Stegostoma tigrinum: one gene and its partner. The protein of the gene in region 1 purifies or fractionates together with the protein of each later gene. This does not show direct contact. Links are inferred from orthologs where the notes say so. Each region holds a gene or a part of one and is shown in the gene's direction. Other genes may lie near its edges.

Region 1 (10,819 bases):
GCAGCTCCACAATAATATTGTGTGTGGATGGCATCAATGGCAAAGTCCTGAACGTAGCGATTTGATCTTTAGCTGCAAGATGGGAGACAATTCTCCAATACTTTAAACAGCACAAAAACCATAGAAAGCCATTCCATTAAATGAACATAGGTCAGTCACAGTGATGTTAACCAGGTCATTCAGACATAGCGAATGTCTTGACGTAACTCAAAATTTAGTGCATACTACAAGTACCAGAAAAGTAAATTAATTGATAACCATTCTATTGCAATCTTTTTCCCAGTCATTTTTATCCTGAAAAAGGTGAGAGGCAATGTATTTTGGGAAGATTAACAAGACAAAAGGAGCACACACTGAAGTGAAGCACCCAAAGAAGCTTAGAGGGTACTTCCTCTTTGCAGCGGACCAAAGTCCCCAGATCCTTGAAGGCAAAGGGGCAGGTAGGTAAGGTGATTAAGGCAGCATATGTGATACTCGCCTTTGCTAGCCAAAGTGCCAAAACAGCAAGGAGGTTATGAATGGAACTGTATGAGACATGAGTTAAGCCACAGCTGGAGTCTTATATAGAGCTCTGGTCACCACACTAATAGAATGTGATTGTGCTAAAAAGGGTTCAGAACAGATTCTTCAGAATGTTGCTTGGGCTGGAGTGATTCAACCATGAAGACAGACTAGATATGCTGGGATAGTTTTTCTTCAAGCAGAGAAGGCTGATGGGAATGGGTACAGAAAGGTAAATAGGGAAAAACTTTTCCTCAGAGTAGAAGGGCCAAGAACAATGAGGGACTGTTTTAAAGTAAGGAGCAGGAGTTTAGAAGGGATCTAAGGTAAACTTTTTCCACTCTGAACTCACTGCTGAAAAGGGTGGTAAAAGCAGGAACCCCAAAATCACAGAAGTCCATTTGGCCCGTCGAGTCTGCATTGCCCCTCCCACCCCTCCCAGATCCACCCTCACATTCCATCCCTGTAACCCTGTATGGAATTTTTTTTACCATGGCTAAAACCACCAATCCTGCATATCCCTGGACAGTACAAGATAATTTTTTTTAGCATGGCCAATCCAGCTAACCCTTGACATTTAAAAGCTATGTAGATGAGCGCTTGAAATAACACAGCTACAGGGCTATAGGCCAAGTGCTATAAAACAGGACTACAATAGACTGATGTTTCGTGACTGGTGTGGATGCAATGAGACTTTTATCATGCTTTAAAACTTTACATTTCAATAAAAGGCAAATGCCAAAAACTTCACTTAAATTTCAACCATGTAAAACACAATTCATGATAGCCAAAAGTGTCTGATTTTGTTACATTGAATACCTGAACAACTGGGGATCGAATCTGCAGGACTGCCAACTTCTGGTCTGCTGATGCGTAAACTGCAATATAGTAATGTGTAACACAAAAGGTTAGGGGGGAAAGATTCAAGTTTTGGTGTTATAGGAATCAATTAACAGACTTCATCCTCAAGAATATTAAAAACTCTTACCAGAATATCAAGTTTTATTTCAAAACCAGAAACTGCATTCTTACTGGAGGCAATTATAATTAATATAAGCCAACTAGTTGCATGCTTTCCAATGCCAGCTATGTTATGCGAGCAGGGCTACTGAGAAATAAAGACTTGCATTTATACAGGACTAGAAGAACAGAAGCAGGACCACAGATTCAGAAAGTCATTCAACCACTTGGGCCTATTCCATCAGTTAGATCGTAGCTAATCTGTACCTAACTCCATCATCTACTCTCATTCTATATCCTTGAATACTAGTGATACAATGTTGGAAATCAATCTCAGTTTTAATATTGATTAATCTAGCTGCAACAGCTATTGCTTTAACAGGAAGGGAAAGAAAGAATATTTGAAATTTCTACTACTGTTTGTGAATGAAACACATGTCACACATGCGGAGCCCAGTTCTAATTTGAAGGTTGCATTCCTTTCATCTGGGTTGGCCCGTAGAAGAACTGGTTTTCTATTGCAAAAATTATTTTTCTGTATTCTCATTTTGGACTGAAATGGGAAAAAGACTTCTTTAAAATTAAGGACTGTGGAAGAGATTGCTGCATAAAAATTAATCAGCTACTGTAGTCTTCAAATACAGGTTCACACAAATTACTGTCATCTGCCTTCTTGTTGTTGGCACAATGAACTTAAAAGGGGGAACAAAGGCATGGTAGTAACGATATTTGATTAGCCAGAACCCTTGACGAATGTTTTTAATATTATCTCTGTGCTGGAGAAACAGAGAAGGTCTTGCAACGTCTGTGGAGTGAATGCTTCTATTGCTTTAGAGACATGGGATCAACTTCGAGCACAACAGATGGGAAATTGAAAATTGAATCAATAAATCCATAATAATATATTAGTCTCATTAATAAATGCTCATAAACTACATGGTTATTGAACCAGAAGAGTCTTATGTCAATGACCTACAGTGAAGGCAATATGCCATCCTTACCTAGTACGACCTACACATGACTCCAGATCCACAGCAACGTACTTCGCTCTGAAATGATCTAGTTTCTTGAGTAATTTGGGATAAGAAATAAACACTGGCCTTGCTAGTGATACTCATATCCAAAAACCAAATGGAAAAAAAGCTTTGCTACACTTCAAAGGGATAATTAAGTAAATAAAACTGCAATAAGAATTTTGAAGACAGGTTAAAGACCATTGAGTGTTTAAGTAGCTTTTCATCAGACAACACATCATCAGTGGACAATCATTAACATGCAATTGCCAATGACATCTTAACTCTTTCTCTGAACACATCCAACTGTTTCACAAAGACTTGTGCCATTTCTTATAGTGTACAACTTTGCCTTATAAAAGGGCCAACTTCATTTAAACTTTTATTACGTAGTGTTTTAATTACTGATGAGAGTGAACAATTTGCCTCAAATCAGATTCATTTATCTCTTTCACAAACTTTTAAAAACTCCCTGAAAGTACCTGGTTTCTGCCCCTGCACAACACTAAAATGACTTTATTAATCAATCACAGTTGCAAAGGACAGATTACATATTCATGATCACATTGTACAATCCCTCCTCATTCTTCTTGAGCAGTCTACAGCCTTTCATGCTACTGACCACAATCTGGCCTTGCTGGATGGAACGATTATCACTTTTCTAATTATATCTAGGGCACAACCCCCAAATATCTCCGGAATTCTTGAGGATTGAACCTTGGATTTTTGTTTTCTAAATGTAAATTCCTAGATATATTATATCAGAGTTTTTCACACTTTTACCCTCTCACTCACCTTCAGAGCTGACACACATTTCTGTTGAGTTCTCCAAAGTTGTTGCATATGGATTGTTTCCCACCACCGGAAGGAGGCAGTCACTGTGGATATAACCAACCCTTGGTAATGTGAGTGTAGAAATGATCAGATCCACCGTTAGCTGACCAACATTACCCACAGACACAACTGGCTGGAACATCAAAAAGCTCAGTTATTTAAAAGTTACGTGTTCACTGCATTCTGCCACATGACTAACTTGATCTTTTGTGGTTCCACAGAAACAACACACAAGAGTAAGACTTTGGCCATACCTTATTTTAAATGCATTGGAAATTTTTTTTTTTTAAAATGTACATATTCATGTGGTGTTCGCTGCATCTTCCTCCTCATTTTCATCCACCCATAGTAGACTTGATATTGAGAAAGGTTTAGGAATGATTCACATCATGATAATATTCCATAGTCCTGTTTTAGACTAACAAGTTCTAGTTGGGCTGAATAGCAAGTATCCACACTGGCCAGGCTGTCATTGCAAATATCATCTTCCAAGCTCCCTTTGCTCTCCTAAAGTGTTGTCAACTCCCAGATCAGTGGCCATCTTGCCTGCAACTCCAGGTTTGCAACATATTCAAATGGCCTTTACCAAAGTCACAAAACAGAAATTATATACCTGTGACTGTAGTGCCTAATTCTTTCCCATCCTTCTCAAGCAGTCTTCAGCCTCAAACTCATATTTATGGTGCACAAGGAGGCCATTTGGCATCATTGTGTCCTCAAAGATCTGATCCCACTAATCCCATTTCCTAGCTTATGGACCAAAGCTCTGGAAACTATGGCAACACAAGTGAATATCTAAAGAATGAGTTTTGGACTCAAAAACCCTTTCAGATAGTTAGTTCTAGACAACCTTTATTCTATCCACCAATGATTTCTCATACGGTCTCTTGGTTTCATAATCTCCTTTTTAAGTTTCATATTTCTCTAGGGGCTCTTCTGTATTGAACATTCAGTACCTGCTGTAGGCTTCATTTTTTTAAAAATTCTAACCTTTATGAACCTTGACATCTAGGTTTCTCTGATCTTGTTCCCATCTGTTGTCTTTAACATATTTGCCACGTACACTCACTTTCTCCTACATGATTGCCAGTGGTGGGAAGGAATCTTAGCCACAAGTAACTGTGTCCCATGTAAAAGCCTTTCATGCAATTGACCACTTCCCACATCTCTAGCAATACCTTCAGAATCCCTTGAGGATGCACAACTCACCCCAATTTGCCACACACTGATGTCATCCTTTGAGGAGAGGAAGAGGACGAAAACTAGGAGCAACACGTTACATCTGCAAGAAATCAGGTCAAGTAGATCCATGTAGGAGGACAAGGCCAATGTAGGTGCAACCCCAGCATGAGTCTACAGTACAGCGAAGTCCACATCTTCAACAGTTCCCATAAACCGTGCTAAAGGCACACTTTACACAGAATGAAATGACACTGAACTTAGCAGCATGGCAACAGGCCATTTGGCTTAATTGGTTTATACTATTCAGAGGCCTCTCTCAGACCTTGGCCACTCATCTAGCAAGTCAAAGAGTAAACGCCAAGAAGGTATTTCGCCTTGCAAGAGAGTCTAACAGCAGAGGACATGGACTCAGAATAAAAGGGAGCCAATTTAAAACTGACATGAGGAGGAATTTCTTCCTTCACAGGGTTGAGTCTTTGGAACTCCTTGCCACAGAAGGCTATGGGGGTAAGAGTCCTCGTGTATATTTAAGACTGAGATCGATAGATTTGTGACCAGTTGGGGAAAATCAAGGGTTATGGCAAAGAGGCAGGAAAGCGGACTTGAGAAATGCCAGACATAGTAGGAACTGCAGATGCTGGAGAATCCGAGATAACAAGGTGTAGAGCTGGATGAACACAGCAGGCCAAGCATCATCAGAGGAGCAGGAACAGGAAAGCTGACATTTCGGGCCTAGACCCTTTATCAGAAAGAAGACGACCCTTCTTCTGAAGAAGGGTCTCGACCCGAAACGTTAGCTTTCCTGCTCCCCTGAAGCTGCTTGGCCTGCTGTGATCATCCAGGTCTACACCTTGTTATCTCTTGAAAAACGTCAGATCAGCCACGATCCTACTAAACAATGAAGCAGAGATAGTAGGAACTGCAGATGCTGGAGAATCCGAGATAACAAAGTGTGGAGCTGGATGAACACAGCAGGCCAAGCAGCATCAGAGGAGCAGGAAAGCTGACGTTTCAGGCCTAGGACCTTCTTCAGAATGGAGGCGGGGAAGGGCCCGAAATGATGCTGCTTGGCCTGCTGTGTTCACCCAGCTCTACACCTTGAATGGTGAGGCAGGTTCGAGACGCCGAGTGGCCTGCTCCAGTTCCTATTTCTTATAACTGTTCAGTTACCTACCATGACCAGAGTGTAGCCTTTCAGGCTTACGGAGCCATTCCCACTCGGAACGAAAACCGTCTCCATTCCACCACCTGAATTCCTTCAACCGCTAGGCGCTTTCTGATGACGTTCCCTCTTCCCAGACACGGGGTGGGCAATACATTGAGAGCGTCGCAAAATTGCGAGGCATGGGCGCACGAGCGTTGTTTTTCTTAAAATCGCACTTATTATAGGCAGCAACTAGCTACAGCTGTGCTTTGCAACGTTGAGCGATCAAATCCAGTTGTTGCAGATTTTTTTAGCATTGTGCCAGACAGTTGAACGGGCAAGCGCGAGGTGAAATTCCCGCTTCGTTTTCAAGCCTTCAAACTTAGAGCGCGAGCCGTGAGCCGATGAAGGGGCGGGGCTTGAAATATTGTGGGGGCGGGGGGCTTTGTCGTAATCAGTGTGAGGCTGGCCTGGGTGGTTGTCTAGCAGAGTTGGTGAGTGCGGTTACGGGGTTGAAACGCTGTCGGTTTGGTCTTTTGGAAACATGAAGTTGCTGGAAAAGGTCTGGCCGCACCTGTGAACAAAAACATCACAGAATTAACGTGTCGGTTCTCTTTCCGTTTTTATGTGGTGTTTTGGAGGTGTGCGCAGTTCGATGTCCGTCAGTAAGAGGGCGGGGCCTAATGGCCGTTGGTGGGATGGTGCGTTGCTGTGTTTGGGTGGTGGCTGCAGTTGCTACTGGAGATAAGGGCGGGGCTAGATGCTGATTGGAGGGTGGTGATAGGCGGGGCTTGAGGGCTGTTGGGAGGAAGGGGTGGTGTTTGTCGACTGCAGAGACGGTTGGCTGGCGGCGAGTTGTTTTTGTGTTGGGCTGCTGGTTGTGCATGTTGATAAACCCTGGTAAAACGGTCCCTAGCGCTATGTCGCTGCCGCCAGAAAAGGCTTTGGAACTCAAGCAAATCATTCACAATCAGCTGACCCAGGTGAGCTCTCACCGCGTCCAGCCTCGGGCTGGGGCCTTGATGTCGCCCAAGATGCGTGAGGCCGCCGTCCATATCCCAGATTATGTCTAATCAGCTACAACAATAATGGTTAACTTTTTAGCTCTTGACCTCTTTTTACGAGTTGCATTTCATAATAATTTAACCTGTTGAGTTATGATCTTTGAATGAGAGCAAATACTATGGATCTGAAATAATAGGAGAAAACGTGCGAAATCTGTGTAAAGCAAAATGCAGCATCTGTGTAAAGCCAGAAACAGTTCATGTTAACTGTTTACCTCTTTGTAGATTTAATATACAAATCATGAGCAGAAGTAGGCCATTCAGCCCTTCGAGCTGTTCTGCCTGCTCCAATAAGATCATGACTGCCTTGAAAACATTTAAGAACTCTATTCAACTGCCTTTTGATGAACAGAGGATCACAGACTCCTGTCTCTCTTTGAGAAAGCATTTCTACTTATCTTTGTTTTGAATGGATAACCCTGTATTTTTAAATAGTGACTTGTAGATCTAGATTCTCCTTTCCACATACACTTGGAATACCATCCAAAACTATGAGCTAAGTGTTGGAAAGTGGGACTAGAATAGATGGATTAGTGCAGACTCATTGGGCAAAAGGGCCTGTTTCTGTGTTGTAAATCTATGACTGTGACCTGTCAAGAGCCGTCAACATTGCGTATGCTGGCTAAATTTGCTCATGATGCCGCTAGGTAAGAAAGTAAGTTGTGAAGAAGGTATTAGGAGCCTTCAGAGGGATATAGGTTGTGAGTGGGAAATTATCTGATACATGGAACATAGAACAGCACAGCACAGGAATGGCCCTTTGGTCCATAGTGTGCCAAATATGATGCCAAATTAAAGTTATTCCTTTTGCTTGCACTTGTCCATATCTCTCTCCCCCCCCCCCCCATTCCATGCATATTCATGTGCTTATTTAAAATTTCCATAAATGCCCCTATTGTACATGTCTCCACCATCACCTTGGCAGCACGTTCTGGACTCTTACCACACTATTAAAAAGAGAATACAACTTTGCCTCTCGCATCTCCTTTGAACTTTTCCCTGTCACCTTAAATACATGCCCCCTCGTATTAGACATTTCAGTTCTCGGGGGGGGGGGTGTGGAAAGATTCTGACTGTCAACCCTATGTATGCATCTCATCATTTTATAGACTTCTGTCAAGTCTCTGCTCAGCCTTTGCCACTCCAGAGAAAACAGCCCAAGTTTTACTATCCTTTCCTCGTACCCTCTAATCCAGGAAGCATCCGCAAAAATCTCTTGTGCACCCTCTCCAAAGCGTCCACATCCTTCATGTAGTTTGACAACTAGAATTATGGCCTAACCAAAATCTTCTAAAGCTGCAACATGACATCATGACTGTTGCACTCCATTCCCTGATCAACAAAAGCAAGCATGCTTTACAATGCTAGCTCCTTGTGTGGCCATTTTTGGGGAGTTATGGCCTTTAACCCCCCAAGATCCAGTGCTGTTCAGGGTCCTCCCATTAGCTACACTTTTTCCTAACGTTTGATCTTCCAAAAATATAGCATCTGGATTAAACTCCATCTGCCATTTCTCTGACTATATCTCTGCAACTGATCTATATCCCGCTGTATCCTTTGAAAATCTTCTACATTGCCCATAACTCCAGTGATATTTTTTTTTGTATCATCTGTAAACTTACTAACCCATCCATCTACATTTTCGTCCAAGTCATTTATATATATCACAAACAGCAGGCATCCCAGTATGGATCCCTACTGAACACCAACATTCGTGGACCGCTAGCCAGCAAAACACCCTCCCACTGCTACCCTCTTGCCTTCCATGGACAAGCCAGTTCTGAATCTAAGCAGCCAAGTCACTGTGGATCCCATGCATCTTAATCTTCTGGATGAGTCCCATCAGGGACCTTGTCAAAAGCTTTATTAAAATCCATATAGACAATATCTACTGCTCTACCTTATCGATCACCTTTATCAACACCTCGAAAAATTCAATCAAGTTAGTGAGATATGACCTGCTAGGCACAAAGTCGTGCTGACTGTCCCTAACTAGGCCATGCTTTTCCAAATAAATGTAAATCCTAACCCTAAGAATTCTCTCCAATAGCTTCCTATCCACCAATGTGCAACTTACTGGTCTGTGGTTTCCTGGATTATCCTTGTTTCCCTTCTTGAACAGAGGAACAACATTAGTTATTTGTTCTCTGTTCTCACATACAATCTGAGAATTTTTTGGCAGAAAGATAAAGAAGCATGATATCTAAGTAGTGAGAGGTTGCAGAAAGATCCGGGTGTCCTAGTGTGAGAATCACAGGTGGTTAATATGCAGTAACCAGGCAAATAATCAGGAAAGCAGATAACGTGTTTTATTGCAACGGGAATTGTATGTGAGAGTAGAGGAGTTGTGCAGGGTACTGGTGAAACTACATCTGGAGTACTGTGTACAGTACTGATCACTGTAGTTTTGAACTGGTGTTAATGCATTGGAAGCCGTTCATAAAAGGTTTACTGGACCAATACTTGGAATGAGCCAATTCCCTTTGAGGAAAGGACGGACAGGTTCAGCCTGTAACTGGAGTTTAGAAGTATCAAGGTGATTTGAATCTTAAAGGATCTTGACCAGCGGATGTCAAAAACATGTTTTCTCGTGTGAGAATCAGGAACTAGAGGTCACAATTTAAAAGTAAAGAGTCATCCATTTAGGGACAGAGATGAGGGGGGTTGGTTGGAAGAAAAAACAGGGTTGAGAGTCTTTGAAGTTCCATTCCTCAAATGGCAGTCAACAGAATCTTTAAATATTTTCAAAAGCAGAGGGAAATAGCTTCTTTATTACCAAGGGGATGAAACGTTATTGGAGTATGCAAGAATGTTGAGTTGAGGTTAACATCAGATCAAACATGAGCTTCTTGAATGGTGGATCAAACTTGAAATGGCCTGCACTTTGAATATTTTAATCAGGTTGCCTCTTCATTTACATCCTTAAATAAGGAGAGCAATGCTCCAGATCTGGTTTCACCAATACCCTGTATAATTGAAGTATAAACTCCTACTTTTCTATTCATTTCCTGTACAACAAAACATGTATATATTCTATCAGTTTTCCTAATAATTTAACTTGCATTATAACTGTTTGCAATTCATAACTAAAGCAGCCAGGTCCCTCTGCATTCCAAAGCTCTGCAATCTCACACCTTTTTTATTCTTCCTGCCAAAACAGACAAATCTTTATTTCCCAAGTTTTCATCCATTTGCTTAATCACTGTATGTATAATGTATATTCCCTTTATATTCATCAGTTCCCCTTTATCCAAGCATGTTACTTCCTCAAATAATCCATTCTGTCTGATTACTTTGAACTTTTCTTAGTATTCTGCTATTGTGCTTTGATAATAGCTTCTAACAGCTTCCTATAACACGTTAAGCTAACTGACTTGTAGTTTCCTGCTTTGATGCTTTCCCTTTTCAAGTAACTGAGTTATATTTGCTATTTTATATTTAATGAAAGTTTAAATTAACACCTCACTGTCTCAACGACTACTTTTCAGATTCTAGGCTGAAGAGTTTTAGGACCAAGGAACTTGTCAGTCCACAGCTCCAACAATTTGCTCAGTAACATTTAGATTAACATTTGAGCAAGGAAAAGGTCATTGACCTAGAATGTTAACTCTGTTTCTGTTTCACTGATATATGATAAACCTGTTGAGTATTTACAATATTTACTGTTTTTTATTTTAAATTATAATTTTGTTCTGTATGTCCACTCTTCCTACTGATTGCAGAGCCTTGAGAGACAGTGTTTTTTTTCTCCCTGGTAAATCTGAATGTGGTCCTAACTGTGGGAGAACTCTGGGTAGCTGCATAGACTCTACTCAGCAAGACTTGTCAATGGTCACTTCTGCCAAATCAGAGCAGCATGAAGTAGCTTCTGCCTTGTTGATTCCTTTTGCATTGACTAGACAAAGCTCAGAAACATGGGACTAAAACCCTGCCAGAAATAGAGCAGCAGCCCCCTCCAAATAGAGGGAGTTGCAACCTCACATTTTGTATAAGGATCAAACAGTGATTAATCAGGCCATAAAAAATAGCTCTTATCTCGCTAGAGCTGCAGGGATTTTTAATTACTTTAACCTGGGGTAAGGAGGGGTGCTGTTGTCAGTTGTGCCATTTCCGGATGTGAC
Region 2 (10,516 bases), on another chromosome or scaffold:
TTTTCAGAATACATCAAGGCCAAAAGGGTCACTCAGGAAAAGCAGAGCCCCTTAAAGATCAACAAGGCCGTCTATGTGTGGAACCGGAGATGGAGGAGATATTAAATGAAAATTTCAATGTCAATATTTACTATGGAGAAGGATATGGAAACTAGAGAACTTTGAGAAATAAACAGTGATATCTTAAAGTGTCCACATCAGAGAGGTGGTGGTGCTGGATATCTTTAAGCACATAAAGGTGGATAAATCCCTGGGATGTGATCACGTGTATCCCAGAACTTTGCAGGAAGCAATCACTAGGCCCCCTGCTGAGATATCTATCATTAGTAGCCTAAGGGTGGGGTGGGTGGGGTGTGGAAAGAGGAGAGGTAAGACCGGAGGGTGGCTCGCCAACTAGAGAGCAGTGGGCCTGACTTCAGTGATGGCTAAGTTCTTGGAGGGGATTCTGATGGACAGGAAACTTCATTGTGTTTTTCTGAAGTGACAAAGAGAACTGAAGAAGGCAGGGAGGTGGTAATTTACTATATCAATTTTAGCAAAGTGTTTGACAAAGTTCCGCATGGTAGACTGGTTAGCAAAGTTAGCTCACAAGGAGAGCTAGTCATTTGGATACGAGCACGGATGGGGTGAATAACCAAAGTCTCTCCTACCCACTTAGTCTATCACCATTCAGATGATAAAGGGGAAGGGGCAACAAGACCTGGGTTGTATATCAGTCACTGAAAGCAAGCAGTGAAGATAGCTGATGGTATGCTGGCCTTCATAATGACAGGGGAGGTCACTTCTGGAGTACATGTGCAGTTTTGGTCTCCTTCTGGGAGGGTGGATGTTCTAGCTTTGGAGAAGTACAGCAGAGGTTTACCAAATGATTTGTGGGATGGCAGGACTGATGAATGGAGAGAGACGGGGTCCATTACATCTACGTTCACTGACAAGATATATACAGGAAGGATGTTCCCAATGAACAGAGTCCAGAACCAGGGATGCCAGTCTAAGGTTAGAGGGCAAGAAATTTAGGACTGATCTGTGAAAAAAAATTCTTCATCCAAGAAGTGTTGAGCCTGTGGGCTTCTCTGGCACAAAAACAATGGCTTTATGCTTAGGAAATTGTGTCTCACTGAGTGGATTGATTTTTTTGAAGTAACAAAGAGGATTGATGAGGGCACAGCACTGGATATGATCTATATGGACGTCAGTAAGGCTTTCGAAAAGTTCCGCATGGTACACCAATCAACAAAGTTAGATCACATGGAATAGAAAGAGAACTAGCTTTTTGGATATAGAACTGACTCAAAAAAGGTAGAAGACAGGCTGGTGGTGGTAGTGGAAGGTTGCATTTCAGACTGGAGGCCTGTGACCAGCAGCGTGCCACAAAGATCGCTGAAGCGGGTACTGCTTTTTGTCTATAAGTGATTTGGATGTGAACAAAGGAGGTATGGTTAGTAAGCTTGCTGAGGACACCAAAAATTGGGGCAGTAGCAAACAGTGAAAAAGGTTCCATCAAAGTACAATGGGATCTTGATTAGATGGGCTAATGGGCTGAGGAGTGGCAGATGGAGTTTAGTCCCAGGTAGATAGGATAGTAAATGCATTTGGTATGCTTGCCCTTATTGGTCAGTGCATTGAGTAAAGGATTTGGGAAGTCATGTTGCAGCTGTACAGGACATTGGCATGGCCACTTTTGGTATAATGTGCGCAATTCTGGTCTGCTTGCCATAGAATGGATGTGGCAAATCTTGAAAGGGTTCAGAAAAGTTTTAAGAATATTACCAGGGTTTGAGGGTTTCAGCTATTGTAGGAAGCTGAATAGGTTGGGGCTATTTTCCTTGGACCATCAGAGACTGAGGGTTTATAAAATCATGAGGGGCACGGATAAAGTAAATAGGTAAGGTCTTTTTCCCAGGGTGGGGGAGTTCAAAAATAGAAGGCATAGGTTTAAGGTGAGGGGAAAGATTTGAAAGAGATCAAAAGGGGCAACTTTTTCTTGGTAGTGCATACATGGAATGAGGAAGTGGTGGAGGCTGGTACGATTATACCATTTAAAAAGGCATTTGGAGGGGTATATGAATAGGAAGGGTTAGAGGGATACGGGCCAAAATCTGGCAAATGGGACTAGATTTAGATTGGATATAATATGGTTGATATGGACAAGTTAGATCAAAGGGACTCTGTCCATGCTGTACATCTCTAAGACTATTTTCAAGAAGATGTTTGAGACAGTTCTTGTGGCTAAGGGAATCAAAGGGAATGGGAAGAAAGTAGGAACAGAGTACTGAAGGATGCTGAACTGTGGTCATAACAAATGAAGGCGCAAGCCGAGAAGCCAAAGAGTCTGAGATAGTAGGAACTGCCGATGCTGGAGAATCCGAGACAACACTGTATAGAGCTAGACGAACACAGCAGGACAAGCAGCATCAGAGGAGCAGGAAAGCTGATCTTTCGGATCGAGACCCTTCTTCAGAAATGGGGGAGGGGGTTCTGAAATAAATAGGGAGAGAGGGGGGTAGGCAAATAGAAGATGAATGAAGGAGAAGATAGGTGGGGAGAAGATAGGTGGAGAGGAGACAGACAGGTCAAACAGGCGGGGTTGGAGCCAATGAAGGTGAATATAGGTCAGGAGTTAGAGATGAGATAGGTTGGTCCAGGGAGGGTGGACAGGTCAAGGTGGTGGGATGAGGTTGGGGCTTGAGGTGGGAGGAAATGGTTAGGGAGACGGGAACTAGCTAGGCTGGTTTTGGGTTGCGGTAGGGGGAAGAGAAGATTTTGAAGCTTGTGAAGTCCACATTGATACCCTTAGGCTGCAGGGTTCACAAGCAAATGAGATGTTGCTCCTGCAACCTTCGGGTGGCGTCATTGTGGCAATGCTGGAAGTCCAGGATGGACATGTCATCCAAGGGGCGGGAGGGGGAGTTGAAATGGTTCATGACTGGCAGGTGCAGTTGTTTGTTGTGAACTGAGCATAGATGTTCCACAAAGCTGTCTCCAAGCCTCCGCTTGGCTTCCCCGATGTAGAGGAGGCCACATCGGGAACAGTGGATACAGTATACCACATTAGCAAACGTGCAGGTGAACATCTGTTTGATGTGGACGGTCTTCGTAGGGCCTGGGATGGGGGTGAGGTATAGGGACAGGTGTAGCACGTGCTTCGGGTTGCAGGTAAAAGTGCTGGGGGTGGTGGGACCGGAGGGGAGTGTGGAGCGGACAAGGGATTCACGGAGAGACTGGTCCCTCTGGAAAGCAGGGAAGGGTGGGGAGGGAAAAATGTCAATGGTAGTGGGGTCAGATTGCAGATGGCTGAAGAGTCGGAGGATGATGCGTTGGATCTGGAAGTTGGTGGGGTGGTATGCGAGGACGAGGGAGATTCTATTTTGGTTGTTATTGCAGGGAGGGAGTGAGAGGGATGAGTTGTGGGAAATGCAGGAGACACAGTCGAGGGCATTTTCAACCACTGTGGAGGGGAAGTTGTCCTTTTTTTTCCCCCAAGAACCACATCTGGTATGTCCAGGTGTGGAATGCTTCATTACAGGAACAGATGCGGCAGAGGCGAAGGAATTGGGAATAGGGGATGATCTTTTTGCAGGAAGGTGGGTGAGAGGAGTGTATTCTAGGTAGTTGTGGGAGTCAGTAGGTGTGACAAGGTTTTTCAGCAGAAAACTGCTCAATGTCCAAACATGAGTAGTATTCATCGATGTGTGGGTGGAGCCAAAGAGTCTTCCTGGTTCATATTTTCTGTTTCTATGCCTGGTAAAATATTTCACTTTCTAGCCTGGATATTGTCATCAGTTGTCCAAGTTAAGAGCACAGAACTGAAACGAAAATGTCAGTCATTACAGAACACGTTCCATTTTCACCTCAAGACAGCATATTATGATTTTTTAACCCCACCCAATGACCTGAACACAGGTCAAGAGTGACAGACTCTTTCAAGTACTGTTTCATCTTTCAAATGAAATCCTATACTTCATGGACCTGATTGTTCAAAACATTGCCAAATCTCAAAACACCATTTATCCATCATTTCTACGCAACACCTATTTTAAAAAAGTGTGCTCACTTTTCTATTCAACTCCTTCCATACCTCAACAATTACCTCCAACTCTACAAGAGATTTGCAACAAAATATATACTGGTCAAGTGCCCCTCTATCCTTATTCAATTGCCTCAGCTGAATGCTCTGGTATTAACTCACTAAGCACCCCCATTCAATTTATTCGCCTTTCCTTTAAAGAGGCTCCTTAAATTCTACATTTGGCTAAACTTTCAGTCATCTGCCAAAGAGACATGGCTATAATTTTTATAATGCTCCTATGGGATGTTTTCAATACTTTCACTGTGCTATAAATACAAGTTGTTCATTGGTGTCAGACGTTCCAGCATTACATAACAGTGGTCGCAAAATTGCCTGAAACATTCTAATGTAGTGAAAGTGCAAGTCTTCAAAACTAGGATCTTTCACAAAAGTAAAACAAAGAAATACCGATGACGTAGGTCTGAAACAAAAACAAATTGCTGCTGAAAGACAGCATATCTGGCAACATCTGTGATAAGAAAGCAGAGTTAATATTTTGAGTCTAGTTATGATGAGAAGTCACTGGACTTGAAACGTAAACTCCATTTTCTTCCCAGAGTTTCACTAGCAATTTCTGGTTTTGTCTAGGATTTTCCACTCTACCACAGCTTTGTACTAGTATAGCTGATGTCTTTAATTGGCAAGTAACAAGATCCTTTACTCTCTACCAATACAAACAGAATCTCCATCAAACATAGCAAAAGGTCCTGACAGACTAAATCAACAACTAACTGTTCTTAGAAAGATGTTCTTAGAAAGATATTCTCAGTCAACCTAGGTTTAAACTAAGTTATCTAGAAATCTTATGTCCCTTATTTGACACTTAAATAAAAAACAAAACATTAACATAACTTTGCAATTATGTTTAGCACCTTAATTTCATGAAGGTTTCAACTATTCCCATGCAAGCACAGGACGTGACAGATCGTGTTAAAACACATCCATACAGTCCCAAACTGAGATTTGCAACTTTTAAAAAAATAAATAAGTTGTTTAGATAATTTGCCATATTCATTAAGCTAGAAGCTGAATAGTGAACTCAAACTTCACTTTAAAGGAAGTCTAACGATCTACTACTGCACAAAATTGTACTGCATCAGTACGAAAATAGGCTCAATTGGTCTACACGCTACTTGATTTAAAAATTTTAAAAAGGCTGAATATTACTATCGAAAAGAAACAAGTGAAAAGTCTTGGCAAGATCGAGCTGTACAGATTCTTAACAAACAGATCTACGAAAGGATTCAGCGTTAGTAGCAACTACCGATGCTGGAGAATCTGAGATAACAAGGTGTAGAGCCGATGTACACCGCAGGGCAAGCAGTCCAGACCCGAAAACGTCAGCTTTCCTGCTCCTCCGATGCTGCTAGGCCTCCTGTATTCAGCCAGTTCTACACCTTGTTATTTCTACAAAAGGATATTGGCCTGGTCAATTCACGTTTCGACTCAATGAATCCCAAGATACGCGATTTCAGTGCACATATTCAACACATTAACACACGGTGCCCTATTTGATCTGCGTGAACTAACGTATTTAAGAGCCAGTTCGAGCAGCACTGCACCACTTCAGAATTTTCCTTGCGTTTACCTTCCCATCAATCCTGGCGTAGCGCTTCCCATGACCCGGGTATATCTTATACCCACTGAAACTGCACAGTTCGACCCTGAGGAAACAAATAACCAGTCATCACGGTCGCTTATATTAAGGAACTTCATAACTTAACCGCGGATAGAATGACTTTACAGGCAAAAACAGCGGATGAAAGAGGATTAAATTAGCGATTAGACTCACTTCATGACGACAGTTAAGATGGCGCGAGAGAAAAGGAGGATTGTGGGTAAAGCCCTCGCGTTTCCGGAGGGGAGGAGTGGGAAGAAATATAAAACAAATCGCGGCTGCAAAATTAAAACGTATATGTTTGGAGGAAACAGTTTAAACGAATTTGATTGTTTCTCGAAAAAAGGGTGGCGTGTTATTGAGCCCTCACGGAAGCCAATCAGCGAGCGGAGTGGTTGCTTGGCGTTAAGCACGCGGGAAGTTGCTGCATGATGGCGGTTCAGGGCGGAGAGGTTCCTGACATGATGGTTAATACAGATGAGAGTAAGTGCTTGATTGTGATTCTGAGCATCGTATTTGAACCGTCCGATTGTACTGACACGTCGCTGTTTTATTTCCCTTGGGACATACCACTGCTGAAGTCTGGACGGAGGTTGTAGTTGATCACTGATCACTGTAAAGGTGCGGGCGGTGGTCAGAGACTTGTAGCTACAATTCCAACAGACGGCAAGTGTACTCCTTCCCCAAAATGTTCTAACTTTTTATAAGCCTTCTCTTTTCCCCTAATGACACGCGATTCTACCATTTTCTTTTATATTTATTGCCTAGTAACTTAATGTGGATAGGATGCACAAAATAGAAACCGATTATTTGGCCCAACTAACCTATGCTATTATACTTCCCTGCAGCCTTTTCCTAAGCATTCCCACCTAATCTATCGGAAGACCCCTCTGTTACCATTTCTTTATTTATCTAGCCTTCCTCTAGAACGTATGGTGGTCTGCATATGGATATACATCTATTCTTTTAAATCACCCTTGTAGAAATGACTTCCACATTCTCAGACAATCTTTAGTAAGGATTTTTTTTCTACTGATTTCACTTATCAGTTATGCATTTGACGTAGGCTGTAGTTTTTTAGTTACCTGCAAGTGGAACTGTTCTGTGTTCACTTTGTCAAAATCTTTAATTTTAAAGACCTCAATTTCTTCAACCCTCAGCCTCTTTTCAGAAGGAAAAAAAATCCAGCCTACAGATAGTATAGCCTCCTGTATCTGCTAACATCTTCCGAACCCATTTTGCATTTTGTCTCCTGCCTTGCTGTCATTTTGTAATGTACTAGAATTTGATGTGCTTCAGCTGTGAAGTTACAAATTTTGATAGATGGTTAGTGTAACTTTTTCTTTCAATTCTGCCCCTCTTAAAAAAGTACTCCACTTACCTAGATTTAATGACCACCTTAGTGTCTATCACTATTTTTTGTATGGCCAAATTATTTTGCCCCTTTGCTCTAATTAGATGCTTCTTTTCCAAGTAAAATGCATTTCCTTATTTTTCTTTCTGAAATACAATACCTCATCTGGAGTTTAGAAGAATGAGATCTAGTTAAGGCATGTAAGATGCCTTAGGACATTGACAAAGTATACATAAAAAGGATATCCCCTCGTGTGGGGCAATCTAGAATAAGAGATTGTTGTTTTACAATAAGGAGAAACAAATGAGGTGAAATTGCTTCCCTCTAAGGATCATAAGTTTGAGGAATTCAGTACTCCAGAGTGCAGTGGATGCTGGAACATTGAATAAATTTAAGGAAAACTTTAATTAGTGATGGGTTGAAGGATTATGGAGAGTGGTCAGGAAAGTGGAATTGAGCCTGAGATGAGATCAGCCATGATCATACCAAATGGCCCACTCCTCCTTGTTCTTATGCTCTTGTGTGTTTTTATTGGTGATGAACTTCATTTGCCAATTAAATTTAAAATCTTGTAACTTGTTGCAATTTGAGAAAGAACTTGAATTTGTATAGTGTCTTTCATAACCTCAGCACAGCCCAAAACATCTTCCTGCTAATTAAATACTTATTTTACTATAGTTCCTGCTGCAAAATAAGAAATGCAGGGTGGCCAATGTGGTACTGCAATCTCTTTCTAATGGAAACCTGCTGATCAGAAATTTGGTTTAATCGTTAAACTTGAATATGACACAAACAAACCAGTCAGACAGTATCTATACTGAAAGGCCATCTAAACAAATTTCTATCTATTCATTAACACTGCACAGAAGAGCATTAATTGGATTTAGAGCATCCACTCTGAAAGATGGCACTTCTGTGCAGTACAGACGGAGTGGTGTACTGTCCGGAGTGTCAGCACAGTTTATCTACACTCTCACTGAGCAAAATGGGAACCCTCAAACCTCTAACTTAGACAAGGTGTTTCCATTGAGTATTGTTTCTATTGCTTCCTTGGGTGACAAAGGTGACGTTTAAGTGAGAGGAATATAGTAATTGGGAGCAAGCTTATATAGCAGAAAGTGCCGGATCTGCTGTGCAGTACAATTGTGGTTGATCTTTGGTCGTAGTATTTTCTTGCAAGACTCCTATCTCCCTTGATGATCAAAGAGATCAAAAATTTGTCTATCTCAGCCTTTAATTATGTTCAATAATAGAGTATCCACAACTCATTGTGTAGAAAATTCCAATAATTTACTGTCTTTTGAGTGAAGAAATTTCTCTTCATCTCAGTCCTAAATGATTGTCCCATTGTCCTGAAACTGTGATCCCATCTTCCTAGATTCTCCAGACAGGAGAAATAAGCGTGTTCCGACGCTGTCAACTCCATCAAAATCTTGAATTTTTTTTGAGATTTACCTCACTTTTTTTTCCCCTAAACTCTGGAGAATATTACACCAGTTTACTCAGTCCCTCATCAAAGGATAGCCTTATCATCCCAGGACCCTTTGAGTACTGCCTCCAATGCAAGGATATCATTCTTTAAATACAGAGACCAGAACTGCACAAAGTATTACAGGTATGATTTCACTAAACTCCTATCCAAAAACTGGAAATAATTAGGTAAATGAGACAATTGGGTTGAAAGAAGTCTTCAAAGAAATCAATTAGTTTACAGGATGACTTGGTTCCAGAAACCCTGGAGATACTGGATTGAAAAATGTTCGTATACATAAATGTAATAATCTAGGCATAAACTGGTCTCATTTGGAATTACACCAACTGGATTTTCCTGGATTAGTACAGCTTTGTCAATATCCAAGAAGCTCACCTGATCAAGCAGGCAGCTTGATCGGAGTTCTGTCTACCACTGTAAATATTCACTACTTTGACTACCAACACACAATGCATAACAGTTTGCATCATCCACAAGATGCATTTGGGCAACTTATAAGGTTCTTTCAACAGCATGTTATAAACCATACCACTAGATGGAAGATAATAAAATGTGAGGCTGGATGAACACAGCAGGCCAAGCAGCATCTCAGGAGCACAAAAGCTGACGTTTCGGGCCTGGACCCTTCATCAGAGAGGGGGATGGGGGGAGGGAACTGGAATAAATAGGGAGAGAGGGGGAGGCGGACCGAAGATGGAGAGTAAAGAAGATAGGTGGAGAGGGTGTAGGTGGGGAGGTAGGGAGGGGATAGGTCAGTCCAGGGAAGACGGACAGGTCAAGGAGGTGGGATGAGGTTAGTAGGTAGCTGGGGGTGCGGCTTGGGGTGGGAGGAAGGGATGGGTGAGAGGAAGAACCGGTTAGGGAGGCAGAGACAGGTTGGACTGGTTTTGGGATGCAGTGGGTGGGGGGGAAGGGCTGGGCTGGTTGTGTGGTGCAGTGGGGGTAGATGGCAGCAGATGCATAGAAATGCCATCGCTTGCAATTTCCCCTCCAAACCATGCTACATCATAACTTGAAAAACTATATTGTCAGTCCCTCACTGGTGGAGAATCAAAATCCTGGAATTACCTTCCTAATACTAAAGTTATACACCGCTGATGGGCTACAGTAATTCAGGAAGGCAGCTCAGTCCCACTTTCTTTAGGGCAGTTAGGAAGGGGTAAAAAACATTGGTCTTTCAGTGATGGGTCAATATTCCAAGCATGAATTAGAAAATGCTGTTAAGCGAGGAGGAAAACAACATTGTTGGTGACTTTGTTATTCATGCAGTTCTTCCCTCAGAAGGTCAGAAATAGGGGTGTTCTCTGGTTGCACAAGGTTCAGCACTGTTCAGACTTCTCAGATATTGAGTAGTCGATGTCCAAATGCAGCAAGATGTAGACAACGTCCAAGCTTCCCTCTGATAAATGGCAAGTAACATTCCTGCCAGGTAACGACAATCTCTAAGTTGAGACTATCTCTCGCTGTCTCAACTCTCCACAGCCTGTCCACCACCTACAAGGCACAAGCAAGGACTTATACTTCATAATGCTCACTCTCATTAAAATAGAAAAAGAATCTTTCAAAGCCTCCCTGAAGCACATTCGGTTGTTATTTGGATTAGTCCATTATTCTTCTAGGAAGCAGTCATGCAGACCCTATTAAAATCTAATGAAATCTGCCAAGAATAACCAAAAATCATGAACAATAGCTCCCCCTAGCAGTGTTAATAACCCATCTGCCTTCCTAAAATTAAATTGACAATAAAAGTTTATGGCTGAAACTGTTTGAGAAAAATTAATCACCTTGACTAAAAGGCATTGGATGGTTCTGTACTGCAGGCAGGGGATAATACCTAGCACAATTTGCCAGTTTTGGCATAATGGCCATTTTAAATTTTGATCTATACAAGACCAGCTGTGAGCACCTGTTTTGTGTAGAATCTCCAGGAAGATCTTAGACTCCCCATCCCAGAGAGTGTTCTCAGCTAAAGTGAGCACAAGA

The links. The genes of interacting proteins can lie anywhere in the genome.
Region 2: the proteins of cep76 (region 1) and cep97 purify together in Homo sapiens (co-immunoprecipitation; 4 studies listed by BioGRID and IntAct, with this or other methods). This does not show direct contact. The link is inferred for Stegostoma tigrinum from reciprocal best matches to the Homo sapiens genes CEP76 and CEP97.

What each region holds. Positions count from the first base shown.
Region 1 is NC_081358.1:117,630,942-117,641,760, reverse strand, and holds the start of cep76 (centrosomal protein of 76 kDa), read left to right. Parts: upstream 1-6,447; 5' UTR 6,448-6,518; coding exon 6,519-6,617; intron 6,618-10,819. Other genes in the region: psmg2 (proteasome assembly chaperone 2), read right to left, coding at 1,321-1,379, 3,270-3,441, 5,665-5,730. UniProt on the Homo sapiens protein: Centrosomal protein involved in regulation of centriole duplication. Required to limit centriole duplication to once per cell cycle by preventing centriole reduplication.
Region 2 is NC_081365.1:30,102,656-30,113,171, forward strand, and holds the start of cep97 (centrosomal protein of 97 kDa), read left to right. Parts: upstream 1-5,943; 5' UTR 5,944-6,115; coding exon 6,116-6,170; intron 6,171-10,516. Other genes in the region: rpl24 (large ribosomal subunit protein eL24), read right to left, coding at 5,658-5,733, 5,862-5,866. UniProt on the Homo sapiens protein: Acts as a key negative regulator of ciliogenesis in collaboration with CCP110 by capping the mother centriole thereby preventing cilia formation. Required for recruitment of CCP110 to the centrosome.